Linked DNA regions of Caenorhabditis elegans. The protein of the gene in region 1 purifies or fractionates together with the protein of each later gene. This does not show direct contact. Each region holds a gene or a part of one and is shown in the gene's direction. Other genes may lie near its edges.

Region 1 (7,292 bases):
GATGGATAATGATCAGGTGAGTATCCTGCTCTGAAGTAAACAATTGCTACTTGACGCCCATCAATCATCAAATCGCTTCTATCATTCAATGATAATCTGAAAGTTTTAACATAGAATTCTGTATTCAAATACAAAAACTTACTGTTCATAGCATTGTGTTAAATTTCTTCTAATAATACATGTCATCGGTACTCCTAACTTTTCAAGTTCATATTCCACGTGGCGTTGATCAATCTGATTTTGATTGACGTTTTCTACAACGACAAGAACCACAGCTGCTGGGTTCGAAAAGTGGGACCAGGCCTTGAATAAAGCTTCAGCGATCATTGGAATTGGCTTGTTTTCTGGAATTGCTCTTTGAATGACGTCATCGGAAATGTTCAACGCTTTAAGAACTCTGATATGCCATTCGGTGAGCCGTAGAGCATGTGCTCCCATTGACGAGGCGATATTGTTTATTTCAATTTGTTTCAGTCCATATTCCGCTGAATATTGATCCTTATGACACATATAATCAGATCGTTGAATCGCGAGAGTGACTGGTTGCTTGAGTCCTTGGGCTTTGACTTTCTTCAAGATCTCAACCATATTCCGTGTGAAATCATCAGTTTTCACGACATTTTTATGAATATCGATTAGAAAATCAAATTCATAAGCTATGAAGTGATAAAGACTTGCGAAAAGGTTCTGAATATGAACTGCTTCTTCAAAAACATTTTTCGGGAATGGAGATGGAAGAAGTGTTAATGGAGTAGTTTGACAAACTTCGCTGCTCAACTTGTCGGTTGATAGACGCATGACAAGCCCATTAGCCTGAAAGATGTTTAAAATTCATTGAAATTCGGAAATTAAGAAAAAAACTTACATGAGCCCAATCGTGAAGATCAGCGGTGAGCTCGTTGAGCTTATCATCTTCGAGCGGGAGCCTTGGAGCATTCAACAGCAAAATCCGGTCATCTTTTTGAGCCATTCTTGAAAAATTACGAATTATTTTTTCAGTTTTAAATAAATGCTTTCGAAAAATGCAAAACATGACGCGAGAGTGACAAAAATGAAATTAAGCGAGAATGAAATGAGAAAAGTGAGCACTGAAATCGTGATGACAAAACGTATAACGTGAGGTTTCTATGTTTTGTCATCATTTCTCTTTGAAGGAAGTCGGAGATATTGCTTTTCGAGTGGTAAAAGGAGGTTTGAACGAGTTTATGATAAAATCTTGGATGCTTATTTGTTGTAATTGACATGAATAATAGTTATTACATGAATTTAACAGGAAAATTTGAAAAAAAGAAAGGGATTGGCATGAAATTTGCTCCCGAAAACAAAGAACTCAAAGAGCAAAAATCATTTTGGTGCTAAACGTCACGTTTTGCGTCAAGGAGCTGCTGGCGCACATCTCGTGCACGAGTATTGCGCTAGCTATTTATTTTACGCTAATTTTTTGTTTCTATCAAAATTATTTTTCTACACACAAAACAACAAATAAACAATTCAATTTTTTATATTTAATTTCTCGTGTCTGTTTAAACTTTTATTAATCGATAATTGTCAGATGGGAGCATCCCAGAGTGCAGAACAAGAGGCACGTCCCGAAGTGGTGCGCATTGACCGAAATGAGATTCCCGAGGAGTACAAGTGAGTTTTTTACGTTGGGAATTCTTTTGAAACTAGGAAGTTTTTATTTATTCAACGTTTCAGAACCGTCGGTGTATCATCGGACGTTGTGAGCCGAGTCAATGCGACCAGAGTTGCCGGAAACGACGGAGAAAGTGACCGTCTCAGACAAGAATTGGCTCGAGAGCGTGAAGAAAAAGCTAGATTAAGAGAAGATATGGCTAAGCTCAGTCAGCTGCAACAGAGAAAGGTAAAAATCAAAAAATCTTTCCTGATAGGATTAAACTTAAAAGTTTCAGACCGCTGGAATTTCCGCCGCCCCAGTTTCGATTTCCGGAAATGATTTGGAGGAGAGAAAGAAAATTTTCGATGACACTGTTGAACGCGTTCAGAAGCAATTCTTCGCTTATCACCGTGAAAATGTGTGCCAGGATAATGAAAATGTAATTTTTAATTTGAGAAAGTTTTTGAGAATATCCAACATTTTTCAGGAGATTGTAAGATGTCTTCAAGAAAATCCAGGACGTGTTTTGAAGTGTGCTCCACTTACTGAGGTAAACTTGGGAAATTTTTTAGAATCACGAGCAAAGTAAAAAATTAAAATTTAAAAAAATATAAAAGTTGTGAAAATTGTTTTAAAACAATCACTAACCCACTTGAATTATTTGAAGTCTTGCATAACTCTCAAATTGGGAATAATTTTGAAACTATTTTTTTTGTTTTCATTTCAACTTAGGAAAAACTAAAGTATCTAAATACCAGGAAGGTTTTTTTTTTAATTTTTCAAAAAATTGAAGATTTCCGAAAATGAAAGTTTTGGCAAAATTCCAAAATTTATGAACATTTAGAGTAAATTTTGAAGGCATATCCTTTTCATCCCTCTAAAAAACACAAATACTAGTTCAATAAAACAAACAATTGTTTACATAGTTTGTAGGCTACAATTAATTAAATTGTGATACAAATTATTTTCTTTTTATAATTTCAGGCATTCGAGAAATGTGTCGGCGAGTTCAGGCAACAAGTGCTCAAGGGAAATTAAATTTCTTCATATCGATTTTTAAATACATTGTTTCATATTTCCCCACATTTTTTTGATCGTAGTGTTGTATAGGTGTGTGTGCGTGCCCCGTTTTCTCAAAACTTGTATTTCCCCCTCAGCCTCCCACCCAAAAACTTTTGCTTTTTTATTTCAAATTTTTTTGTTCCACGAACGAAACAATAAACTTCTAGGGAACTTTTAAATCCGTTTTCAAGTTATATATTCCAAAATCAAAACAGGCATTTCGCTCCTGTACCCATCTTTCCCCTTACTTAATTTTCAGATATTTTTCACTATATTTTCAGAATATTTAAAAAATCAGCTACGCGTTGTAGCAAATTTTTTTTGGTACACAAACACAGCTGATAACAACAGGACACACAACGCAGTGGGACTGATGATGGGCGGTTCCGTATTATCACCAGAAAAATGAGGTAAAACGGGTTATTTTTGAATAGATTTCAGATTTGATTCTCGCCAGTACACCTGACTAGGTTCGAATTTATTACTGTGTGGTCTTGTTGACTTTCAAGATTCTAACTTTTTAAAACTATTATATGGACACCTCGTTTACGTAGTCGTCTACAGATAACATGGTCTCGCCACGATCAACGGGTTACTGTAACTCTTGTCGATTTACGGGCCAATATTGCCTTGTCGTTTTAAAATTTGATGAATAACTTGTTAAATACAAATATAATGCAAAAGCGACTCGTAAATTGATAGGAAGTACAGTAACTTGTTGTTGTCCTCGTGGCAAGACCCATGTAGAAGATAACTTCACGCAATGGTCAATAACGCTTTATCTGGAGAGCTAGGGAGCCACCAACCAAATCTCTAGTCGTCTGGTCAATGTTTCCGAACGCACAACACTCACATTTTTCGCGCATTTTTCGTTCTAGTCGCCTCCCATGTCTTCATCTTCGCTTCCATTCTTCTTTCTTTTTTTTTGCTCCGAATGCGTTGTAGAAAAAAGTTTTTTCCAAAGTAGCAAAACGTAGCTCCATTTTTAATTCGAAAAGAACATAAATAGTCAAACTGCTTGCAAAGCAAACAAAAATCGTTTCCAGTGCCTTTTCTTAACTGATAAATATGAAATCGATTTTTTCCTGGAACAAATCAAATTTAACTAGTTCACCAATTTGAGAACAAAAATCATACAAATTTGTGACCGCGGAAGTGACGATAAAGTTCAAACAAACACTTGTTCCTTCCTATCATTGTCACGTGCCACGTGCTCACAGGATCCGGAGCCAACCCCTGAAGCATACCACAAAAGTGCACCTGACGTCTCACGCAGTTTCAGGTTAACTATCAAATTTCAGTCCTTCACTATTTCTCTTTAGAACAATTTTATCGTCCACAAAATCTAAAATCTTAACGCCTCATCCAATTAACTTCAACCTTCAAGATAACTGTAACATTCACACTTGAATCCAATTAAGTGTATCAAATTGTGTAATAACTTATTGCCAAGAAACGAGAATATATTGAGATGTTGGAAGGTTGGACACCTTTATTTACGTGTTACACACCTCCCTCTCAAATTTCCGCTTCATCCTCTTGTCGGAAGAGGTCGATGGAACTGGTTTACGCGTTTTTTATTTGGCGCAGTACAAAAAAAACACCTCTGAAAAATATGAGGTTATTGTCATTGGTTTTGAAGATTATTAGGTCTATATTTAGGTTCTTTATTTTTTTGTTGGAACGACTATTTTATTTTGAAACTTGTGTCTTCAAATGATAGTTAAAAGTTTAACGATGATTTTGAAAACTTTGGAGAATTGCCAAATTGGCCAGTTTTTGATAAATTACAAAATTTTCTTTTGTTTTGTACAGTAAATGGAATAATTTCAAACTAAATACAATTTTGCTTAAATTAATTCGTCTATCAGCATAGTGTTTTGCAGAAAAAAGACTTGTAGCTGGCTCCAACCACAAGATTCAAATAGTGATTCCTCGATCTGCAAAACTAGAGAATAGCCAATATAGTCAAGGTTCACCGCTATCAATTTCGACGACAGAAAAGTATGATGATAAGACTATCGTTGAACTCTTACTACTGCAAAAACCAACACTTGAATCCTGAAACGAATTCCTGTTTCCATCACTTTGTTGTTTTTCTAGCTTATTAGAATACGAAAGTTACATCATTTCCACTCGAGACCCTAATTGACATACCCTTCTGAAAACTAGTGCACTTAGAACATCTTACCTCCCCTTATTGGACGCTCTCGATATTAAAGTACAAGTCATTCTAAAAAGTATGTATTAGAAAATTGTCTAGCTTTAAACGTGCCCCATATTTTGTTAAAATTAATTTCCCGGCATCAATTTTTTGTTTATTTTTTTAATTCTTCCAGATGCAGTCACAGCTTTCTTCAATTGGATTGGCTTATTTCCTATTGGTAGCCAACTTTTACTACCAATCAAATGGTTTCAATGATCACTACACATTCAGCTATTCCTTTTGGTGAGTGTATATAAATTGATAACAGATTGATATAATTTCAAAGGTTCAAAGGTTTTTTTAAAATGTACATTAAAGTTCAATATTTATACTTTCATAATGTACCAAAATGTTTTAGGAAAATAACTCCAATCATTCTACTTGTTGCTTTTGCATACTTAAATGGAGGTGGACTAGGAAAAGAGCAACGCAAAACTGCTGCCGCTGGCTTGTTCTTCGGAGGAGTCGGTGATTGGATTATTGGAATGCGCCATGATGGAATCATTTTGGGAGCTGTCGCTTTTGGAATTGGTCACCTCTTTTACTTGGTGAGTTTGGTCATTGAAGACATAATTTCGAGATGTAACAATCAAATATCATGTACGTGGTACTTTGACACTTAGATATTAACTCGGTCCAGAAGAAAAATTTGGGTAGAAGATTGACAAAAGATAGGCATCTAAACTTGGGCCTGGTCGAAGCCAAGTTTCACCCAAGTGTGGATTAAGTTTATATTCCGAACCAAGATAAGAATTTTCGGACAATGCTAAGCATGTGGTTGTTGCCCAAATACCAAGTTTAATAAAGGAAAAATTCGTAAATATAGATTTCTCCAATATTTTTTTATCAACAGATCAATTTGACAGTAATTCAGAGTTTCAAAAGGTTATTATTACACAAAAAGATTATAAAGAACATTGTTAGTAGTCTTTAAAAAAATAATCGGGGGATATTCAGAGAATCGCTAACTATTTTCTAAAAATTGGAGAAATGTCAAAGAACAGTTTCTGAAATTTTTTACCTATGCTCAGAATTATCAATTATCACAGAGCTTTTCAGAGTCTCTACCGGCAACATGCCACCAAAATTCATACAAAGTTCCTTCTTGGAATGTTGGCATGGGCTTTAGTCATTGGACAACTTTGCTTCATTCCGATGCTTGCTGATCATAGAGGCCCATTGACTGTCTTTGCCAGTTATTCACTTCTTCTATCAACGTGTACGTTGATAGCTGTCTCACAGTATCTCAATGGATCAAAGTCACAGAATGAAGAGGTTTGATTTAACTGCACATTTGATATAATACAATTTTCTATTGCAGGGGCTCCTCTACCGTGCCATTGGCTTCTTCCTCTTCTACATCTCAGACTCGGTGCTCATGCTCTCACACACTGGATATTGGAAGTTGGCTCCATCATTCTGTGTCCTCTCAACCTACTACTCTGCTCAATATTTCATTCTTTTTGGAAATACGATGGCTGTGAACCCTGTGAAAAAATCTGTAAAAATCAACTGATGATCACTAACTTCTGAACCTGTACATATTCTATTTACAGTGTATTTCTCCCTTTTTCCTATTTTTTGAAAATATTTCTTACAATTATGACTAGACTACCTAATGTCAGAAGCTTTAATATGAAATATCTAATAAAGTTCTTCAAAATAATTCTAGGTACAAATTTTTCGTCAATTGGGAAATTTGAAACAATGGTCCTGGAACTTCCTTATAATATCTGTATGCTTTGTAAAAAACATTTTTAAAGCAAATGTTTTCAATATTCACATTGCCCATTTGCACGTGCAAATGTTGATGTTTGCTCGTTGATTCTTAATTCATAATTTTATTATATAAATAATGTTACAAAGTCTTGGTTTTCAATTATTTTAAATTATTTTTAGCTGCTAATATACTTAATTTATTTAGATGTTATCACCTGCCCAATGTCTAGCCATTTATGGCGGTTCGACGGTTTTGGCGTACATTGAAACGTCAAAATTCGAGAAAAATCATCATATTCTTCTCAGTGCACCTCTAGTGATCTTGTCTATTTTGACACTTGCAACAACAATGAATCCAAAGTGAGTTGAGCGGTTATAAAACTTATTTTTAGCGTATTTAAATTTTCTTTTAATTTATAAAAATAAGACATTTTAATAATAGTTTTAACAAAAATATATGACTTCTCCAGAGCCCGATTCGCCACTGCCATGTCATTTTTAATGTCCGCCATCGCGACATACTTCCAATCAGTCAACCGTACTGGCCCAGCTTCCGCTATCTTTTACACAATTGCCAATGTGTTCTATTACTTCTCATATAGGTATTAAAAAGCCAACTTCCAGTTTGAAATCTAACTATTTCATTTTCAGAGACATTGTAACTTCAGTTTCTTCTCCAATTGTGTT
Region 2 (7,465 bases), on another chromosome or scaffold:
ATTGCTCACTAAAGAAATCTAACATAACATAGACACAACGAAGTTTAATTAGATATTTTCTTCTATTTGAAAAACCACCATATTCTATAAAAAAATGTGCTAAATTCAACTGCCAAACAAGAAGGCGATCACTTCCTACCGTACTTCCTACGTTAAAACTACTCAGCTTTGCCAGCTTATATCTCGCTCGTCATTTGTTTTATCAAAGCAATTTCAATTGACGAAATATTAATTATTCCCTTGGCTATAGTTTTGCGTTTACTTTATTTTTGCTATTTTTGAAATTAACTGAGATATAAAGCTTCAAAGTGGAACAGGACTACTCCAAAAACAAAATCAAAACTTACTGTAGTTGACTTCATCATTTTTCGTGTTTTTTTCCAAAAAAAAAGTACAAATAAATTGAAATAAGCGCTAAATAATTCCTGAATCAGAGACCAGTAAGTTGCGAAGAACTAAGAGTTTAGAAATATAGGTGAGGAGGCGGTGTCTAGCTGTTTGAGGTACTTGATATTGAATGTTGATATTGATACGTACTGATCAGATAGATAAGGTAAATAGAAATTGACTTATAATGAGAATGTGGAAAAGAAAGATAAAAAGGATAAATTTTCAGATAGGACCGAGTCAAAATGACTCAACCAGCAACATTTTTGAGGAAGAGAAAGGTATCAATGAGAATGTGGAGACTCCGCCTTGTCTATAGGACGCCTGTTTTCTTTTTCCATGGCTCTCTCCGAATGGCACATGATCTCTGTGAGGGAGAACCCTTCAAGTCAGAATCACTCTACTTTTCACAATCTTTGTGTTTTCTTTCATCTTCTTCTTATTTTTCTGCTTCAGGCTCCGTGCTGCTCCTTCCAAATTGATAGATTTGATGATATCCAGTGATAAAAAAGAAACAGAGGTCACTTTTGATCGAGCCAACCATGAAGGAAACGAACAAACAAAAATGTGTTATCAAAGAAAGAGATATCGTGGTTTTCGATTGGATTTTATCAAACCACCGCTCTGCCATACTTCGATATCGAAACGTCAAAGTGTGCAGGAGATTTGTGCGAGCACACGTTCAAGTCATATGGCTCTTTTGCTCCGAGAGCAGGAAGACCGCTTGACACCGGATAGCTTTTCCTACATGTACACAGTGTCACTGAAAAGTGTATCAGTGATAACTGATTGGAGAAAATGAAACGTTTGAGGAATGATACTAACATGAACGTTATCGTATCTTTGAACTCTCTGAAATGAGATTTTAAAAAAATTATTGCAGAAAAATGCAAAAGTAATAAAGGAAGTTTCTGAAAACACAAAATCTAGGAATTACCTAGTTGCAAAAGTCAAGCGATTTTCGCCTAAAAACACGATACCCGGTCTCGCCACGAACAAATTATTTTAAACTCAAATCTGCTATGAAAGGTGTGCTCCTTTGAGTAGTAAGTACAGTAACCAACTTCCCGTTATTTCCTGTTCTTTATTATTGTTTTCTAGTGTTTAAATTTAGATTCTCAAGAAAAATGTTCTAATAAGAGAATATTGCAAAATAACAGGCAAAGGATTACTGTACTATTTAAAAGCGCACACCTTTTTGCGACTTGGATTTAAAAAAATTCGTGGCGAGAGCCGGTACTGTGGATATTTTCACTAAGGATCGTATAATATGCAACTGGTGCGATTACTCTGGAATCTAGACCCAAAAAAACTGAAAATACCGATCACTGGAAATCTTGAAAAAGCTGGAAGACGACGATAGGCATGCACATAGGCCTGAAGATATGCCTACTTACGGTTGAAGTCTAATTGCACAAAATGTTCAAATTTTCAACTGTTGTTCATAATATTTCACTTGTTGTTTGAAACATTGAGCTTGTTTTTTCATACTCAGATATCATGAACATTCTCGTGATAGAACAACAAGCTCAGCTGTGAAAGATCAGTGAACTCTGATCAGTCAGTTTCTGAAAACCCTATTGTGCATATTTCAGTTTCAGATTTTACTTGGATTCTTGAATTGCCTACTCTAGATTTCGCATGACGGATGCATTTCCTTTGCATATGAATGTAAAGTTGTTAACCTCCATATGATATGTCATGCAAAATGTCATTTTCTATGTTATTTTTCTTCAATCCATGAACCCAGAGAAACTTGGTATCATCTTGATTTCTCCCGCCCGTTTGACACGCCGCCATCTGCTCCTGCTGCTCTTTGCCGTTTGGCACGCCATTAAACCAACGACTCGATTCGACGTTCTGAAACGATGAGAGGAAATGGTGAAGGAGAACAGAATGATGATCTTAAGATCAGAGCTTGAGACGAATTCATCCGGGATTTCAAGGGAAGAGAAAAAAAAAACAAAAACAGCAAGTAGGAAAGAAAATGGCTATCACGTACATAGAAAATGCAATAAAAGTTGTGTTATAACAAAAATCATCAAACCAAGAAATAGAAAAAAAATCTAAATATTTCCTAAAAAATTAAAGCTATGGGGAATCAAGTTTAATATTCAATTGGCGGATTTTTTCGAAGAATTTCCAGTGACGATCCTTTAGGAAGATCACCAACTTTCTCTCCCAATTGATACATCCGTGTCTGAACTTCGTCAGTGATGATTTTTCGCATTTGTTCAGTGGTCAGTGACTTTGATAGAACTGTTTTCTTGAGATCAGACAGGAAAAATGGCTCTCCGATGTGAACTGTTACGGTCTGAAACGGAAAAAAATGAATAATTTCACTACGTTTTTTGCAGATTTTATATTTTTACGTCTAAATTTGATTATTGAACTTGAAAAATCTTCCGACTTACATTTCCAAATTTAGGATAGTATGGAGGTTGTGTTGGCCAAACTTTTTCCATCTCTTTACACCATACAGGCAATATTACTGGATCGGTTTTAGCATCCATCACAAGCCTTCCAATTCCCCACTTGAATCGTAGTGGTTCACTTTCAAGAGTACACACTTTTCCTTCTGGAAAGATATGAACCCATTTATTATCATTCAGCATATCCACACAGAAATCCATTCCTTTTTGATAAACTCCTTCTCCACGAACACACGGAACACAACGTCCTAATGAGAACATTCTGAAAAATAAATATGCGACGATTAATTTGAAAAATTCAAGAGAAAAAACTCTTACGTTGTATGGAACTGTTTTGTGAAGCAAATGTTGTGAGCTGCGAGAGTGTATCTATTGCGATCTTTGTATCTCCAAAACTCACGGAATTTCAGAATACCTGAAAATAGAAATTAGGAATGCTATAATAAATCATTCGGCTTACACCACATGAGCGGGTCGTCGATATTTGAGCGATGATTTGAGACTGTGATGAGTGGTTGATTCGGATTTTCCAAAATCTTGACGAATGTCTCTTTGTTGTGGCATATCAACTTATTGGATCCTAAAATGTATCGAATTTAATAATTTTAAACTTTAATTAAAAGACAAACCTCCAAGGAACATAAGTTTGGAAACTGAAGTGACTAAACTCATTGTCATGTATGATTTTATACGGTACAGAAGTGACGGTTTTTTTGGAAAGGGCCATGCAAACCGGAAGCCTTGCACGTCATTTGTTTTATCCCGCATTGTACCCGACATCGTGCTGAAATACTTTTAAAGTTTAGAAAAATCTTTCGAATGGAATAATAAAGTGTTAGAGAACGTGGAAACTATATTAATTTTAATCAGAACAATGCAAGAAAAAAGAAAGAGAAAAGTGCGCCGCGCGCTTGCACCTCGAAACTCCGCCTTCTTTTGCAAGCCGCAACGGGCTTTTTAATAAATGGCAGATCTAAATTTAACTGCAAAATAGTTTGTTTTATTCAAATTTGCTAAAATTTTATTGATTTCGTATGTAATTTATGTTAAATTGTTATATTTCGTTGTCATGTATCATGTTTTTTGTGTGCCCGTTCATTATTATCGATTTTTACTCAGTTTATATTTAAGCAGTCTCACAAATTCATAAAAACGAATTTCAGGCTCAAATGGGTAACCAGTATGTGAAACCAGAACGCACGGGCAATTCCCCTTATACCCGGTCCGGAGTTCCACCACCGGCGCTTGTCAAGACTGGTGACAAGCCTCTTCACAGGTAATTCTTTTAGATTCTGTTCAACAAATTCTATTCAACACAAAAAAATTCAGAGTGAATGACCGCATGTCTCTCGAGCTCCACATGGCCGATGAGCGTGTTCGTGCCGCTGGTTTGAGCCCAGCCGAAAGAGAATGGAGAAAGAAGTGGGTTCATGTGAGTTTTTACATTTTTTGTCAATTGTTAATACTAAAATGTTTATGTTTAGGACCAGCACCTTCACGCTGACGAGCCAGTCGTTGTCGATGCCGTTCATCGTCAGTTGAACCCAATCAGAACCGCTTACAGACTTCCATGGGACAAGTTCTATCTTCATTACCTCAAGGTGAGATATATTTTCTTTAAAAAAATCAATTTTTTAATTTGAATTTCTCATTTATTGCATTTCAGCCAACATTCGGAGTTTACTATGGAACCGCTATCAGAGTTACAGCTCCAAAATTGCTCATGGCTTTCGTCGTTGTGCAGACTGCCTATTATTATTGGAAATACGAAGTCAAGGTATTCAATTTTTTGAATTTTATATTAATTTCACGAACCATTATCTTTTCAAGGACTGGACACATTTGAGAGGACTTGAATCGATGCCACAAAAAGAAGTTATTGCTAGTGCTCCAGCAATTGAAGAGAAATTCCCTGGACTCATGGATAAGGGACTCGCCAACCCATCCAAGGATGACTACTACACGTGAGTTAAACAATAATTTGTGGAATATTGGAAAATTGAAACTTTTCAGACCAACATTTAATAAGCGTACTGCTTACCTCGATGTTGGAGAGACAAAACGACCGTGGTAATCGAAAGGAAACGAGTGACAATCAGTCATTCGAATATGTACTTTTAGGGTGTTGTAGACGAATTTTTAAAGTTTTTTCTTTGTTTTTGACCCTACCGTAAATAAAAAATTTCATGAATGATTTATTTAACCAACTTTCTAGGTTTTATTCATAAAAAACAAGTTGAGATTATAAAAAAATAGGAGAACAACGAGATGGTGCTGCGGAAATACCTGAAGAAGGAAAATAACAAAGAACAACAAAGTATTAAGAGGTATTTTAAGGAAAGAACACTAGTGGATAAAGATACTACAGAGGAAACCTTGAAGGTTATGAAAGAATTTACGTTAGGGAATTAATATTGCTAATGATGAGGTTGATGGGAATAAAATAAGGAGGAATAAGAAGTTTAGGCCGTGACGACCATCTTGATGACCATTGTGAAGATCAGACCAGAGACAATTCCAGAGATGAGGAAGAATCCGGCCATCATTCCAGCGACCTGAGCCTTCGATGGATCAACAGTCTTCGAGGTGTACATCATGGCGAGTCCCGAGAAATATCCACTTCCAAAGCTCATCGAGGCGGCGATAATGACGAAAAGCCAGGTGGATTCGAAAAAGACGGGAAGTGAACGGGTCTCAGGGAGATAGTTGCAGAAGATGAAGAATGGAATATAGAGGAGACGGAGGTAGACTGGAATCCAGAGCTTGTTCGGCGCAGGCTGAAATAAATATTGATATATTAGATTATTCTAATTTATTCAAGTTTACGGTATTCCTTCAATCAGATTTTGCCAAAATCTCAAAAAATAAAAACATACCCATTGCTTTCTTCCGGCGACAATTGATCCAATAAAAGCGAACACGTTGAATTGAAGGAATGTGGTCACATCCATGAAGTATTTTTCTGAAAATTCACGGTTATGTATTTCAAGAGAATTGATGAAAAACTGACGTGGCAATGGGAAATCGTAGACACCTCCTTTCTTCTCATCCTTAACATACATCATGACTCCTGGGAAGATGGAAAGAGTAACGAAGAAGACCAAAAATACGTTGATGAGTTGTGGGAAGGCCTCCTTGAAAGTTGCGATGTAATTAGCCACTTTTCCTTCGCTATCAACTGCTTCATCGTTTTTGTTTCGTTGTCTTTCGGCACGGGTACTGTAATACTGGTAGAAACGTTGTTTCTTGAGGATGTGGAAGGAGATAAAGCAGAAGACGAGTGTGATTAAAGCAATGGAGAAGTAGGCGAATGATCTGTCCAAGATGTTTCTGGTGACAGCTTTAGTCGACATACTGAGCAGGGTGACGAAGGTTCCACACAAATTGTTTCCAATGATCACAGCATTGGTGTACTTGAAAGGAAGCTCCGATGCAAGACCGAAGATACTGTTCTGGTATACTCCATTTGCTCCATTCAATACAATAATTGTGATGATGGTGAGTGTGAAGAATCCGGTGAGCCCTGAAAACGTCTGGGTTTATAAAAATAATAGAAAGGGATGATGACTTACATGTGGAGGTTTCGACGTAGATGAACATCATTGTAGTGATCACACAAACAGCTACAATTGAGAGTCCGACAGTGATGCGACTAGCAAGTCCTCCCCTGAAAGTTTACATTTTATTTAGAACTTAACGAAACATTGAACTGCAAGAATTTATCTTTTAGAAAAAAGTTGCTCACTTGACGACAATGAAGATGTTGAGAAGATTGAGAAGAAGGTTCGGGACTTGAGAAGCGATCGTTTGGAAGCTTTGGAAGTTGGATGAGTAGACAGTTGGATATCCAGTAACTACTCCGGTGTCCATGTCGATTGTTGAGTTGGCGAGCATTTTGTATGATTCGAAATACTGCAAATAATGATTATAAGCGAATTTTTTACAATTTAATACATTTTCTAGATAATTTCTATTAGCTCACATTCCTAAAAAATGGTTTCCATGCTTTGAAATAGGCTTTTAAAATATCGGTGATCTTTTTTGTTGGTATTTCAAAACTCACATCATAGGAGATCGTAATAAGCATGTTCCATGGCATAAGAGTTCCGATTCCATGGAGCAAGATAATGTAGAAAACAAGATTTCCCTTGTCCTCTGGCTCCGGGGATTCTTCCTCGACTTTCTTTGTTTTGTTTAACGGCTGTAGCTCCACTGCCGACGACATAGTACCCTGAAAAACATTTTGTAGGTTGAGACATAAATAACGAGGCAAGAAAAGATGAGCATTTATAGGAATTTTTTCTTCAAAAAGAAAAAAAATCAGCAATTTTCAAGAAAAATGAGCAGAAGTAATTGTTCTAAAGTTTTTCCCAAAAAATTCGAAACGAGAATTGTCGAATTCAAAACAACAGGTGCAGTTAGATGTGCAGGTTATTACTGTAGCTGAATTTGAAAAAATCCATAAGAAAAAACTTCATGGAAAAAAACTGAAGATGTTTTTTGACTTTGAACTCAAAAGAGAATAATCAATGAAAGTGAAAGACAATACTTGATAGTACGGCGATTGCCTCTCGTCAGCTATTTAGTAAGATAAGCTAAAAATTGAAAGGTATACTTCATTTCAATGAAACTTTTGTCTGCAAAAA
Region 3 (7,541 bases), on another chromosome or scaffold:
AGCGTTTTTTAGTCTTATTGTAAGCGGTCCGCTTGATGACAAAAATCCGGGTAATGGCAATAAAAATACCAATAACTGCTCCAATAAAGCAACCGACGAGGGAAGGAAGAGGGTATCGCTGTAAATTAATTTATTACACATTTGACAAGAAGTGTATGCGCGCATATATGCGTGATTACCTGCCACCAACGATCCCAATCCAATGGATGAACAGCAGCTGCTGCCCAAGCACCCAAAAAAGCGAATACGGAGTTGAACAGTAAAACTGATTCTTTTGGTGTTGGATTGCCTTCACACGAAAATAATTGTAGGATCACTTCAACCGCTCGCTCTTCTGAATCGAATAGGAAGACGGCAGGCAGAGCAGAGACGGCCGTTAGAGCTGTCTGAAAACAGGAAAAATAAATTATTTTCATGTGCTTAATCTTCTCATACAGCAAGTACAGCGGTTGCAATTATATCAGAGAAAAACGGAGCGCCGAAAAGGACAGCGAGGATGTAAAACACCGCCCAAGAAAGAGTCACGAATCTGGCGGCCACGGGTAGACTAAGCATATGATGAAAATCCTGGAATTTTAGAAATAACAATGTTAACAGGTCTCAAGAATGTTTGTAATCATGAATGATCAATATTTACGATAGAATTAATTTACTAATTAGAAAATAAAAAAGTTATTTTAAAAAACACCATTACCAACATTGCGCGTCAGTTCCGATGTTTCTTCACGGTGTTTGCGTACTTATTGTTAAACATTATTTTTTTTCTATTTTTTTTAACTTTAATTTAACTTTGAAAAGCTTTCGGGGATACTTATTCCTTTTATTATTTATATTTTTGCAATGGGCAAAAAATCGAAGAACTCAGTCACCACACAAACTCAATGGGTAAGTGATCTCTACTATTAAAATGGAGTGGCCGTCAAAACTTCAGAAAAGACTCAAGATTGACTTTGTCGAAAGGAAAATAGACAAGGATGATGTATTTTTTGAAGAAGTCAGCGACGAGCAATTAAATGACAAAATAATTGTTCCTCTTTTCACAAGCAGTGGAACCTTTGAAGAGACTATCGGGATCTTAATTCAATGGCAAGTAAGTCTAGAGATTTTTTTACATGATAAACTTTCAAATCATTCAGGAATATTTGAAATCTCGTTCCGACAGACTCAGCGAAGTTTTCCTATCGAAAGTCAATTCATATTTTGAGCACATTCGAATCACGCTTGCTCTACCGTTTGATGAGTCGAAATGGGCAGAATTGGAAACACTGACAGAAACTGATCTCAACAAAACACCGATTTTTATCAACAATATTCGAACATCTACAGTCTCTGTCATACTCCATCTCGAAAATCTTATTAAATCGTTCCATCTGAATGTAAAAAGTGCAGAAATTTTTCCATTCGACTCTGACTCATTTGGGCTCCCACCGATCAATTGCAGGAAGATTTTGAATCCATTATTATGGATGAAAGCAGGAATCGAAAAGTTGATTCAAAATAATTGTCAATGCGACCAACCTCCAATTGTTCCACTGATTACATTGCTAGATCTTGCGCCAAAGGAAGGTCATTTTCAGGAATTAGCTATTGCCTCATTGTAAGCTATTATTATTAAATATATTATTTACATCTTATTATTTCAGCTTTCTAGAGAATACTGCCCATAAACTTGACTATTCATGTTCTGATGACGAAAAAAAGTTCCTGGATCAGATAAAGATGAAGTTTGGAACAACAAAAGTTGACAAATTAACAATGGTTTTACCGGATATTCTGATGGCATACAGCGAAGAGCTTGTGGAAAGAGTGATGCCAGTGTCATATTTCATCCCATTTGAACTCTTCCGTATGATGCTGCTCTCTTGGCAACCAAAAGTATTGAATCTTCGATTAAGAACAGAAGCATGTTCTTCTATTGAAGATGCTGCAAGAATTGAATGGGATGACGAGGATGTTTTCACTTCTACCACTCTTTTCAACTGTCCCTTGTTTGATAGATGCGAACCAGTGTGTCTTGGAGACGAAGAAATTATTTTGAATTGCAAATTGATCGTTGATTGCTCAGGAAGTCGTCTTTTTGATCCCATGTTCAACGAGGGGAACGTCTATACTGCTGGCAGAGATTTCTTGGTGTTATTCCCAATGCAAACGATCATATTGAAAAGAATTGTACCATTGAAAGTTGGTTCATCAGTGGTAAGTTCCTCTTTTGTCTTTCTAATTGGTTTTTTTTCTCATTGCAGAAAGTTCAATTGAAAAAACAAATCGACTACATAGTGAACACATTCTTCTTCAACGCCAGCGAACACCAAGATCGAGTTGTAAACTATGAACTCACATTTACCAACTCTACAGATGTTCAAATGAGTGCAGTGAAAAGATGTATACCACAAGTCGCCAATGGACGCCAAATTGGAGTCAATTTGAATGTTGAGCAAGAAACAAGAGATTTATTCACTGATCATGGCAATTCTTGCCCTGGAAGACATATGTTCGCCAGTTTTTTCGATTCAGAAAATCAGGTTATTGTAGATCTAAAAGTAGTGCTGGCCAATTAAGTTGTGCAGTATTATTATTTCCTTGTTGATTCAGTTGGTTTTCAATTCTGAGTACTCTTTCGTTGTCTGTTCTGTTTATTCTCAATGCTGTTTTCTCTGTTCTTTGTTTCTCTGCTCTTTTTTCCTTTTTCAACATAAATTTATGTGTATCCCGGCCGTAGGACGAGACTTCACTTGTTTCTCTTCCACTTGTTTCAACTTAAACGCGAATAAGTTTTTCAGTGCTATTCTGATTAGTGTGTGCACTGAAAACTGATCAGTGAGCGAGTTTGTAAGTCGTTGCTAGGCATTTTCATCTGTGGACAGCAGAGAGCGCGCTTTCATCGATCTTGATTCATTTCTCACGCTGCTGCTCTTTTCATTTCTTTTTTTTTGCTCTGAGATCGACGAGAAGTGAAAAATGCCACTTTTTGGAAGCAAGAAAACCGATAAGAAAAGTGGAATGAATGAAGCACCAAGCTATCCGAAGCAAAGTGTAAGTTTACTTAACTTTAAATCATGAATAATTTGATTTTTTTAGGCCGTTCCACCTCCTCCGCAAGTTGCCCACTATCCGATGCCAACATATCCACAAGGTCCGCTTGTTCAACAAAACGAGTTCTACTTCACCTCCGCTGGCCAACAACTCCAATCGGTTCCAACTACTACAGTCGCATTTGCAAGAACCGATCTGCCTGGGGCTTACGACAACTTCTGTGAGGGATTCCTCGACGGACCAGACTTCTCAAACCGAGTCCCAGACAGGAACATTCCCCCTGCTCCAGGATCGTATTACTTCTACTCGGTAACACACATTTTTAAATTTCAACTTTACCATACCCACTTTCAGCATGGCAACAGCTCAACCCCGTCGTTCGCCCCTCCCTACTGTGCTCCACCACCAGGTCCATCTTCATCTGCTCCACCAACACTCCCGACGTCTTCAGGCAACCTGCCGCCACCTCCAACCTACGAACAGGTTCTCTCGCAGGAAGTGAAAGAAAAACTATGATAATTTCGCTGAAGATTTTTCAACATTTTCAACACTGTATTCCCTTTGCATCTGTGATTGCTGTTTGCATACTAAATCATAATTATTCTGCGATTTCATTTTTTGTGCTCTTAATTTAGTCATTTTACCTGAACGATATTTTGATCAAACCACATTTATGCATTTATTTTCTCCCAAGACTACAAATAAGCCACGATGTAGTCTTCCTGAAGGGCAAAGTGCAAAAAACGAATGCTATCTGCGTCTCCCCGGTTTCTGTACTATCTCAATAACGTTTCGTTATCTTCTCTTTCTCGGAGAGTAGTCCAGCAATCTCTGTGTTCATTGGCTGTTATTTGTGGCGAACCCTCACAGCAACGACGTGGTCGGACACACAAACATTTTCTTCACTTATTTTTTTATCTTCCTTTTGTTGTTGATATCTTCGTAAACATTCGTTCCCACTATCGATCTAAATAGGATAAAAAAGCTTTACTGTTCTTTAAAAACTCCTAAAAATCCAATTTTAAATTTTATATTCGAAATTTAGCGTTTAAAGTGCAATTTTCTTTGATAAGATAAGTTAAGATAAGTTAAACATTTCTTACAAGGCCTGACAGGGTTTTCTTAAATTCAGAAATGTATTAACTTGAACAAAACTAAATATTATCACCCTTTTTTTAAATAACAGGATTCAGGTATTTTTCTTAAATCAAAAAACCACTTAATTTCTACATTAACCTTACTTAATATCGGAAAATTTCAGCCATCAGATCGAAGTTTTTACATTTTATTTTTCAGACGCATTGAAATGTCGGACGTTCTTCTGAATTTCATCGCAGGAGGAGTCGGTGGATCATGTACCGTAATCGTCGGACATCCATTCGATACTGTCAAAGTCCGAATTCAAACTATGCCAATGCCAAAACCAGGGGAGAAGCCACAATTTACCGGAGCTCTTGATTGTGTCAAACGAACAGTTTCCAAAGAAGGATTTTTTGCCCTCTACAAAGGAATGGCAGCTCCACTTGTTGGTGTTTCTCCACTTTTTGCAGTTTTTTTCGGAGGATGTGCAGTTGGAAAATGGCTGCAGCAAACTGATCCAAGTTAGTACTAAATCATCATGGGCAAACAAATAAATTGAAAATATGAGAATTAATCTTACCATTTTGCATTTCAGGCCAGGAGATGACATTCATCCAAAACGCTAATGCTGGAGCTCTTGCTGGAGTCTTCACAACAATTGTGATGGTTCCTGGTGAACGAATCAAGTGTCTTCTTCAAGTTCAGCAAGCTGGATCTGCTGGTTCTGGAGTTCATTACGATGGTCCACTTGATGTTGTCAAAAAACTATATAAACAAGGAGGAATTTCATCAATCTACAGAGGAACTGGTGCCACTCTGCTCAGAGACATCCCAGCTTCAGCCGCTTATCTTTCAGTATATGAATATCTAAAAAAGAAATTCTCTGGAGAAGGAGCTCAAAGAACATTGTCACCAGGAGCAACATTGATGGCTGGAGGACTTGCTGGTATTGCCAATTGGGGAGTGTGTATTCCAGCTGATGTTCTCAAATCTCGATTACAAACAGCCCCTGAAGGAAAGTATCCAGATGGAATCCGTGGAGTTTTGAGAGAGGTTCTTCGCGAAGAGGGTCCTAGAGCTCTGTTCAAGGTGATTTTTTTTAAACGATTGGGACGATGCAAGTGAATTTTTCGTCATTTCTCGACACATTTACATACATATATACTTTACCTGATTTCTAGCTACAATTTGTATAAATTTCAGGGATTCTGGCCAGTAATGCTCCGTGCTTTCCCTGCAAACGCTGCCTGTTTCTTCGGACTTGAACTCACGTTGGCTGCCTTCCGTTACTTTGGCATTGGTGGACACCCAACACCATCTACAGAAGTTGTTCCACTCCCACACGACGAGTAAATTTTTGAAAATTCTCATTTTTCTAATTAGTTTATACCATATTTATTTGATATTTTTTTCATTATTCAAAAACATTTACCCGAGTTGCCTTCTATTTCCATGTTTTGGGCATTTGTATGTTGTGTATATTTCTACATGAAAATCGTAAATTTTTTGATGAACTTCAAGAAGTGCTCAATGTTGAATTATATTTACCGTGTTCAGCTGTCGCTATACAATTTTTTTTGAGAAACAGGTTCATTAAATGCAGAACAATTATCGAAACAAAAGAGTACAACGGGTATGGTGAAAAAAAAACAGGGGAACATTTAAGATAAGACTATTCTAGATCGATGACGCTCTGAAGACTGCCAGGTTCACTTTCTGAAACTATTTTCACAATTTTAAACGATTGGGATAGTGATGATTGGAGTTAAATTGAATTTCATTAATTGAAAAACCTACACTAAATAAGAGTATTCTGGAAATGAGTAGTTTTAATTTAGAAATTCTTTTTTAGAAAACCTAACCTTTCTGGAAGAAATTGTATTGAAAAAAAGTTTTAAAAACACCGAAAATTATAATCATCAATAAAAATTTCTTTTCAAACGTTTACTATATTTACTACTCCTACAAAAATTTGGAAAAAAACAAAATAATGCTGAGAGCGATAATATTTCAAAACCATCCAAAAGAAAGCTGAAAATTCTAATCTAAATAATGACATTTACCTTTATTTCCTGTATCTATAGACTCGCTTCGAGCACCTTCTTCAGAATCAGTTTCATCCTGATTATCAAAAATATCATAGTCTGAATCCATCGAGCGTGTAGGTTTTCCGCGTTCAGAATTATCCAGACGACTTTGCTTGCTTTCTTTTCCATTCTAAAAATAACATTGATTTTACAAAATTATATACTAAAAATCTGTAATTCTGTCGTTCCAGATTTCAGAATGCTGGGAAGATTAGCAGTTCGACAGGCTGTCCGTTGCAGTAAAGGTAATTAATTTCCCGTTTTCTAGGAAATTTTGTAATTTTACATAGCTTAGAAGTAATTGCAAAAAAAAGCAGATTTTGCAGATTTTGGTCATGTGAGTTGATAAGACTGACAGCTGATAAATTCAGTACTCTGAATTCGTGGAAACAATAATATTAAATGATAAGTGTCACTTGATCAACTGTGCACAACTATACTACTGAATATTGTGAAATCTGGTCATCTAGATATCAGCAATAGCATGGTCAGAATAATAACATCCTAGCCGTTAAGATCAGCACAGGAGCCAAAAATACGGTACCCGGTCTCGACACGACAAATTTTTCTTAAATACAAGGTCTGCCCCTTTAAAGATTACTGTAGTTTCAAAATCTCGATTCTGTAACATTTTCATCCTGTTTTAAACCTATTTTTTGAACAAACACATCAATTTTATTGGAAAACAATGAGAAAAACGAGAGATTGAAGTTACAGTACTCCTAAAATGAAATTTTTCGTGTCGAAACTCGGTACCGTATTTTTGACTCAAAAATCGCTGTTTCGCCTGTTGTTCATTCTAACATTTTTACAGCATCCATCAAGCCCGTCAACACTCATCAGCTTTGCCTGCGCAATTTTTCGGCCATCCGACGTCTTTCATTTGTCGCCGGCGCCCAGTGCCGTCCCTACCACACAACAGCAAACATGCTCCATCGCACGGCAAGAGGCGAACACGGGTCAGTTCTGCGTCCCGGTGTGTGTATGTGTTTTTGATGACAATAGTGTCTCGAAGTGCCAACCTCTAACTATCCTTTTTCGTTATCGAAAATGGAAGGGTGGGTTCTAACGTCATTCACCCTATTTGTCTATACGTCTGTTATGTTTATCATTTTCACACCAATCTAAAGCAATTTCCACGAAAAATCTAATGATCTTACATTGTGTCATTCTGAAACATTTCATTCTACTGATAGGCTTCACGACTTCTTCCAGTTTCTATTAATTTTTTCTCCAAAAGCTTATTTCTATGTTTTTGAAATATTTACAAAAACCTTTTTTCAACAACTCACATCTGTTTTGCTTTTATCAGCCACAGTGCTGATATGGATAATTTCACCT
Region 4 (7,434 bases), on another chromosome or scaffold:
AATATTTTAATATAGTAGAGATCATGCATCGGCCATTGGTGGTGGGCAGTGCTCGTTGGGATGTTTCTCACTGTGAAGACGTCGCAAGTCTCCAGATTCGACGACAGATGACGAATGGACGGTTGAAGTGTTGGCGGCGGATGGGATCTGAAATAATATTTGATTTTTCAGGGGGAGTTTGTGAGAAAAATGATGGAAAAATCAATTTTTTATCACCCTCTTTCTGAAAATTTGCGTTAATTCTGAAAAAACCACTTTTTTTACAAAAATTTTTTATGGTCGGTCAAAATATCGAAGAAAAAAAAGCCAAATTTTGCTAAAATCTGAAATTTCGCACACTTTTCTTTGTCACAGCCGCTGGATTTTAATTTTTCTGAAATTATCACCCTTTAATCCTTATTTTGGTGATTTATCTCATTTTGATCATTTTTGGGTGCCTATCGGCCTAAAAGTTGTCTCGATCAACGAATTTCCGCGAGATAAATCACCAAAATAAGGATTAAAGGTTGATAATTTCAGAAAAATTAAAATCCAGCGGCTGTGACAAAGAAAAGTGTGCGAAATTTCAGATTTTAGCAAAATTTGGCTTTTTTTTCTTCGATATTTTGACCGACCATAAAAAATTTTTGTAAAAAAAGTGGTTTTTTCAGAATTAACGCAAATTTTCAGAAAAAGGGTCATAACAAATTGATTTTTTTTCCTAATTTTTCTACTAATTTTTAGAAAAAGAAACAAAAATCTTGGGTTTCATTGGTTTATATACACTTTTAATATACACTTTTTGTAAGTTTTCTACGGGAAAACTCGAAATTTAAGGCGATTATAATAGCTTTTGTTGAAAAATTTGGTCATTTCTCAATTCTTCCAGCAAAAAATCGTAATTTTCCATACAAAACGTTTTTTTCTGACAAAAATCAGTTTTAAAAGAATTTTCTGTTTGAAGGTGAAAATTCAGCGGTTTAGTGCGTTTTCAGTGAAAATTGGTTTTTCTGCCAAAAAAATCACCACTTCTTCTCGATTTTTTCCATTTATTTTTCAAAAAAATCAATTTTTCCAGTGAAAAATTGAAAATTTCGCTTTAAAATCTCTATAATTGTCGATATTTTTACCATTTTCTTCTCCGAATTAACCTTAAAAGCGAACATTCCATGCTGAGCCGGAGCTCTTGGAGGCATCGGATCCTGTGACGGAGCATCTTCCATAGATTCTCTTGGATGCTCCGATCGATCAAATGAGAATAAAGAGCCGAACATCATGTGCTGAACAACTGGAAACTTCTTTAAAACTTCTCCTTCATACATTTTAAACATTCCACTATTGACTTTTTTCCAGTGTGGAACTGCTGAGATATTCCAAAGTTGATTTGAATGTTCGTGGAAAGGGCCGGTTTTTGTTTGATTGATAAAGTTTACGCAGTCCAGGAAAAGACTTGTGTGGGCGTGAGTCTCAACAATATTCTTTTTTAGGTAACTGTCCGGCACGATACTTTTTGAACCTGAAAATCGAAACAATTTAAGATTTTGGAGCGGATTTTTGGCTATTTTTTGGCATTTTTCAACATATTTCAGGCCTATATAAGCTTTGGAAATTCAAAAGTTTTTTTTTTTGTAATTTATTGGTAGAAAACTAGATTTTTAGGTGATTTTCTAGTAAAATTTTATAATTTTTTTTCTGAAATTTTCACAGAAATATGCTTTTAAGCGGGGTTTTCTAGAAAAATTGTAGAAAAATTTTTTTTTGTCATTTTCGGTGCCTTTTTTAAGTTTCACAGGAAATTTAGTGAAAACTAGCTTTTTTTGAAGTTTTCCTACGAGGAAATGTTGTAGATTGAAGATTTTAAACGATTTTTCCCGGATTTTTAATAGGAAAATCGCGAAAATTGATGATTTTTAACGGAGAAATTGAGGATTTTTCAATGAAAAATTGTGAAAACTTATGATTTTTAAAGGAAAATTGCCAAAATTTATGATTTTTTGGCAAAAATCGCAAAAATGTGATGATTTTTTAATGAAAAATCGGGAAAATTGTTGATTTTTTATTTAAAAAAAATCGCAAAAATTTGTGATTTTTCGACAAAAATCGTGAAATTTGATGATTTTCAACGAAAAAACGGAAAAATGCATGATTTCGAATGAAAAATCCTTGAAAAATGAACGTTTTTTGAACAAATACTGTGAAAAAAGACATTTTAGATAGAATTTTCCGACAATCTGTGAAAATAAGTCGGTTTTTCTTCGGAAAACGACTTAATAATTGTGGTTTCTTGAGAATTTTTGAGTTTTTAATGGAAAATTCAGCTATTTTCCTGAATTTCAAGACTTCTAGTTGCTCCAACATATTACCAATAAGCTGAGCGCTTCCAAAAATGAACGGCGCGAACTGAAAATCGTCAATCGCATGAACTCCACGACTTCCAGCCGGCTCCATCTTGAATCTGGTCTGCAGATGACGGCACACTCTCAAATACTTGTTAAAAATGCGAAGAACGAGCACTTTGTCATCATTTTCTGTGAAAACGCCCAACTTTTGCAGGCAAAACAGCAAAATTAGGAAATTCGCCTCGTGTCCCGAGCCGTAATCGATTCGAGTGGCGTTTCCGAAGGATTCTGTGAAATATGGAACCAGTTCGACTAGAGCATCGTGGACGTTTTCCGGAAGAACGCTGGCTAGGAGATCTGGGGATTCCTGGAATTTTTAAAATCTTTTTAAATACATTTTTGAGCTAAAAACCTTGCAAAGCTTCTCATAAAACTTTCTGTAAGCTTTATTGCCAAATCTTTGCTCGGAAACATCTTCCAGAGGAATTTCCTCAGCCCATTTCTGAAAAAAATCCATTTTTTATTTTTTTAAATCTGGTTTTTCGTAATTTTCCGTAATTTCTCGAACCTCCAGCTTATCCAGCATGTCGATAAAGCTGATAACCAAGTCTGTGCATCTCATGTCTGCAGTTGTATGAACTCCAACTACAGAATCATTCAAACGATGCAAGAAAGCCAGGTACTCCTCGTAAGCCTGCAAATTTCCATTCATAATCCTTCAAATCGATAAAATTTCTGTTCTACCTTGGAAAAGTACCACGGATTCAGGTCGAACACATTTTTAATCATCTTTTCCGGCGGTTTATACGAGTTTTCAGCCATTTTTCTGGAAAAAAATCTATTTGTTTTGATTTCTAGAACTTTGTTATGTAAAAAAATAATGCAGCAAGTGCGCTCCAACGCAAAACCCCATTGTGGAGCGTTTTGTGCGTGAGAGGTGTATAGGAGTGTGTGGCTCGCGCAGCGTCTTTAGTGAAAAATTTTTATTGATTTTAAATATTGTTTAATTCGGTTTTCACGGATTTCTGAGCTTTGAAAATAACCGCCCGTGTTTAAATTTCAATTATATTCAATTTCAGTAATGCCTGTCGAAGTTGAGGTTCCCCCAACCACTTACGAGAGACTCCAGCAATACAAGGTGAATTTTTAGCGTTTTTCTTCATTTTTATCGATAAAAATTTACAGGAGAAGTTCTCCGATGCTCTCCGTCATCCAGACTCGCCAGACTGGTACAAGAAGGAGACCCACGAGTCTGTGAAGAAGGATCTTCTCTGGGCTGCTCCATACGACGCCAGATTCCCACAGGTTGGTAACTTTATTTAAAATTTATTATATATTAATTAATAATAAAAATGTACAAGTTTTCAGGTCCGTAAGCAACGTCAATGCTTCGCCTACTACGTCGATTTCCATCGTTGCAATGAGCTCATGGGACAGGACTACAAGCCGTGCAAGTTCTTCCAAAATGTCTACAAGGACTTCTGCCCCGGATTCTGGACCGAGAGATGGGACGAGCTTCTTTCCGAGGGACGTTTCCCAGCTAAATTCGATCGCTAAATGAGATTGTTCGATTGTATTCGAGAACAGGCGTTTTATTAGTGCTGATATTCGATAAAAAGTGTCACTTGTAAAATATTTTAAACACTTTTATTTCTTATGGCGTTATGAGACGCTTGAAATATCTCATTTTTTTTAAAAATCATATTTCCCCCAAATAAATAATTTTCTCAGTGGAAACCATGGCTGACTCAACTCGCGTCAGCGAGAAGGAAATCGAGCGCCGCGAGACCTTTATTCGCGCAGGACACAGAGCTCGTCACCTGGCCGATCCATTCACATGGAGCTACCCATTGAAGGGTGCCAGTGCAATGCTCGGAATCTCGCTGGCTTCGGTTTATTTGCAAAATCGATGGAACAAGAAGCCGTACTACTACGCAATTGTTCCACGGCTTTTGCTCATCGGAGCCGCCACCGCCGCCGGATACGCTGCCGGAGCACTTCGAGAGAGACACTATCAGACGAGAGACGCAGTCATCGAGCACTACATGAAGCTTCATCCAGAGGATTTCGACCATTTTAATGATCGTGAGTTTTGGAATTTGCTGAAAAATCGATTTTCAGATTTTACTGCAATTTCGAAAAAAAAACCCGGCTGAATTCGATCAAATTTGAAAGATTTCGGCTTTTTCCCCCCAGAGAATACCGTATTTTTCGCGATTTTCTGTGATAAATGCAGAAAATATATACATTTTCCCCGAAAAAAAAACGCTGAAAAGGAGAAGATTTGGCTAAAATGCTCGATTTCGGACCAATTTTTGCATTCAAACACCCAAATCAATGATTTTTATCTTAAAAATAGCAAAAATTGGCGTGAAAAACCGATTTTAGCCTAAAACACCATGGAAAACTACAAATTATCGGTTTTTTCGTATTTTTTAACAGTAAATTCGTCATTGTTCATGTAAAATACTATAAATCACCGATTTTTATGTTAAATTCAGAAAAAAAATAGTGAAAATGGCGCATTTCAGCTTAATCTTCTCCTCGAGGAGTACACGAGCTGCGTAAATCGACACATCACAGAAAACTTGAATTTTGGACTAGAATTCAGTTTTTTTTTCGCAATTCTAAGTAATTATTTTGGAAATTAGTGCGAAAAAAAGGGAATTCTGGCTAAAAAATTCAAAATTTCTGGGAAAACGGAAGATTTTCTAGTGAAAAATGCAAGAAAATCATCAAAAATTCATGGAATCTATTTATTTTTCAGGCAGTGGACGTTCATTCTCTCAAGTTCTTCTTCCATGGTATCCACGCAGAACCCAGTACACCAGATACGACTGAACAATTCTCTCGAAGTCTCTTTTTAGTTCATTATTGTAAATTAAATGAAGAATTATTGATTTTTTTCCCGGAAAATTCTCATTTTTTTCATTTTTCAGCATCCATCTGGTCTTTTGAGCCGTTTTGAATATAACTAATTAACCCAGAAGCAATTTTGGGGCAAAAATACTATACTATATCCTGGGTCTCGACGCGACAATTTGTGTTAAATGCGAAGAGGGATGCGCCTTTAAAAAGTACTGTAGTTTTAAACTTTTGTTCCGGTGGTTTTTATTGATTTTTTATAGTTTTTCTCACATTTTATGAGAATTTTTGCATATTTTTTTAACGAAACTAGAATAAAAACACATAAATTTCTATAAAATCTGAAAAAAAAACTATGAAAAATCGATCAAAAATTTAAAAAAAAACTCAAAATTGTCGTGGCGAGACCAGTTTTTTGCCACAAAAATCGCGCAAAAAAACGCCAGATTTCAGCATAATGGAAGCATCTTCGGAACAAATTTTATTGGATCGAAAAGATCGATTAATTGCAAAACTGGAACAAAGAAATGAAGAACGAAAAGTGCAAACTGAAGAATGTTTATCGAAATCTGAAGGAGCACAAATCGATAATTTAATGGCGGAAATTAAATCGGATTTGGAAGCGAAAAAATCCGTCGATTCGCAGAAAATCGACCGGCTTCGTAAGAAATTTCCCCGCCTCAAACAAACAAAATCGATAATTTTCTTCAATTTTTCAGAAGAATTTCTGGCGTTCTCGACGAGTAACCGGCAAACTAAAACAATTCAAAATTTCCTTGAAGACGTTCGAAAACAGAAGCTCGCGCTGAATTCTGGACCCAAATTCAAGGGTTTTTCGTTTTCAGTTCGGTGGTTTTTTTCACTGATTTTCTCAGGCAACTCAAATCTAATATGAAAATATTAAATAGCAATATTTTTGTAGTTGGGTGATATTTCAAGATAAAATCGCAATATTCCGAGACTTATTCGAAATCTTTTTAGATTGAGCAATCTTTTGAGAATAATTCGCAATATTTTGAGGTTGATTCGCAATATTTCTGAATCTGAAAATATTACGAAAAATTCGTAATATTTTGAGATGACATAGCAATCTTTTGAGATTGGTTCGCAATCTTTCTGAAATCTAAAAATATTACAAAAAAATGTGTAATATTCTAAGATTAATTTGCAATCTTTTTGCAGTCCATAAAGATTACAAAACACCATTTCCAAATTTCCATCGGCTTCACATGATCGTGATATATATACAACAATTATGATTACTGTTTCGTTCTAAATTCTCTTTTCTTCCAAATGATAAAAGACTTTTCAAAGTAAAAAACAGCTACATGAAAATCTATATAATGGAGTATCTCACTGTTAACGGATATTTGATTTTTCGTTGCATATTGTAGAAGGAGTTTTTGCAGAGAAAGCCACAGAATTCACAAATCTGTCCACTCATGTAATTTTTTCTAGATAATTGGCCGGTCATATTACAAATTCAGTCAAACAATCACGAAGATTGGTCGAATACATTAAAGTAGACTTACAACTATTCATTCACGCGTGATGCGTTTGAGATTTTCTGATTTCAATTGAAATCATAAAATATTGTCAACAGCAAGCATGTTCCCAGTATACTCATCATTTTAATCAAATTGTTAGTGAAAAAAAATATTGAAAAAATAAAATGTTATTCTCTCTTTGACAAAAATTAGGAAAATTTGCAATTCTAACATTTTTAAAAGCATAACAAATAAATCGTTTTTCCACATTCGCTTTCAAAGAAAGTTATCCAATTTCGCTCTGACACTTAGAAAAATTTGCGAAAAGCCACTGATTTCCCATCAAAAGTAACGAAAAGGACGTGCGCCCATCAACTATTTACTTAAGCAATAACTAAATCTAGATGCGACACGTACAGGATGGCTCAACAGGTAAGATAATGGTTCATAGACTCAACGACAAGCGACGGACAAGTTCAACTCCCCTCAATGGCAACAAAAGTTCTTCGAGTTATCACAAGACAGTTCTAGAATAGTCGATGAATGCATTTTTAATATTTAGAGACAAATTCGCAATATTTTGAGACAAAATCGCAATCTTCGGAGATGAAATCTCAATCTTCGGAGACTAGTTCGCAGTCTTTTGAGACAAATTAGTAATATTTTGAGATAAAACGGAAGTCTTCCTAGAAATTTTCACACTTTCGCAATATTTTGAGATGAAATTGTAATCTTTTGAGACAAAATTGAAATCTATTCGAAAT

Evidence for each region.
Region 2: the proteins of chch-3 (region 1) and ndub-6 fractionate together in Caenorhabditis elegans (co-fractionation; one large-scale study listed by BioGRID). This does not show direct contact.
Region 3: the proteins of chch-3 (region 1) and dif-1 fractionate together in Caenorhabditis elegans (co-fractionation; one large-scale study listed by BioGRID). This does not show direct contact.
Region 4: the proteins of chch-3 (region 1) and nduc-2 fractionate together in Caenorhabditis elegans (co-fractionation; one large-scale study listed by BioGRID). This does not show direct contact.

What each region holds. Positions count from the first base shown.
Region 1 is NC_003280.10:9,415,461-9,422,752, forward strand, and holds chch-3 (MICOS complex subunit MIC19), read left to right. Parts: upstream 1-1,552; coding exon 1,553-1,635; intron 1,636-1,698; coding exon 1,699-1,864; intron 1,865-1,913; coding exon 1,914-2,057; intron 2,058-2,105; coding exon 2,106-2,168; intron 2,169-2,458; exon of another isoform or gene 2,459-2,547; intron 2,548-2,602; coding exon 2,603-2,656; 3' UTR 2,657-2,856; downstream 2,857-7,292. Other genes in the region: gss-1 (Glutathione synthetase), read right to left, coding at 1-96, 143-813, 866-970; M176.4 (lysoplasmalogenase), read left to right, coding at 5,020-5,129, 5,245-5,434, 5,946-6,161, 6,208-6,402; M176.11 (YhhN-like protein), read left to right, coding at 6,811-6,965, 7,076-7,207, 7,257-7,292. UniProt on the Caenorhabditis elegans protein: Plays a role in maintaining mitochondrial morphology. May act as a component of the MICOS complex, a large protein complex of the mitochondria.
Region 2 is NC_003282.8:11,648,421-11,655,885, forward strand, and holds ndub-6 (NADH dehydrogenase [ubiquinone] 1 beta subcomplex subunit 6), read left to right. Parts: upstream 1-3,982; 5' UTR 3,983-3,988; coding exon 3,989-4,095; intron 4,096-4,148; coding exon 4,149-4,251; intron 4,252-4,303; coding exon 4,304-4,420; intron 4,421-4,485; coding exon 4,486-4,596; intron 4,597-4,649; coding exon 4,650-4,783; intron 4,784-4,832; coding exon 4,833-4,893; 3' UTR 4,894-5,012; downstream 5,013-7,465. Other genes in the region: ZK809.8 (Cardiac phospholamban), read right to left, coding at 348-365; acl-3 (Tafazzin family protein), read right to left, coding at 2,495-2,701, 2,802-3,081, 3,138-3,234, 3,280-3,399, 3,449-3,599; ent-1 (Equilibrative nucleoside transporter 3), read right to left, coding at 5,282-5,596, 5,696-5,781, 5,830-6,342, 6,392-6,486, 6,565-6,731, 6,883-7,044.
Region 3 is NC_003282.8:7,549,663-7,557,203, reverse strand, and holds dif-1 (Protein dif-1), read left to right. Parts: upstream 1-4,329; 5' UTR 4,330-4,339; coding exon 4,340-4,634; intron 4,635-4,708; coding exon 4,709-5,202; intron 5,203-5,316; coding exon 5,317-5,466; 3' UTR 5,467-5,547; downstream 5,548-7,541. Other genes in the region: F49E8.8 (Phosphatidylinositol-glycan biosynthesis class F protein), read right to left, coding at 1-118, 180-386, 436-555; F49E8.7 (BACK domain-containing protein), read left to right, coding at 841-885, 932-1,090, 1,137-1,597, 1,644-2,196, 2,244-2,558; F49E8.6 (Early nodulin-75-like), read left to right, coding at 2,959-3,033, 3,079-3,342, 3,388-3,549; oef-1 (C2H2-type domain-containing protein), read right to left, coding at 5,786-5,835, 6,177-6,330, 7,493-7,541; pam-1 (Puromycin-sensitive aminopeptidase), read left to right, coding at 6,400-6,445, 7,015-7,159. UniProt on the Caenorhabditis elegans protein: Seems to play a role in the maintenance of tissue differentiation in the developing embryo, but not for its initiation.
Region 4 is NC_003281.10:2,782,805-2,790,238, forward strand, and holds nduc-2 (NADH dehydrogenase [ubiquinone] 1 subunit C2), read left to right. Parts: upstream 1-4,047; 5' UTR 4,048-4,057; coding exon 4,058-4,403; intron 4,404-5,085; coding exon 5,086-5,159; 3' UTR 5,160-5,224; downstream 5,225-7,434. Other genes in the region: Y71H2AM.20 (Serine/threonine-protein phosphatase 2A activator), read right to left, coding at 22-147, 1,131-1,495, 2,343-2,685, 2,731-2,820, 2,887-3,012, 3,063-3,140; cox-6B (Cytochrome oxidase c subunit VIb), read left to right, coding at 3,400-3,456, 3,504-3,623, 3,687-3,875; tbcc-1 (C-CAP/cofactor C-like domain-containing protein), read left to right, coding at 5,641-5,845, 5,903-6,027.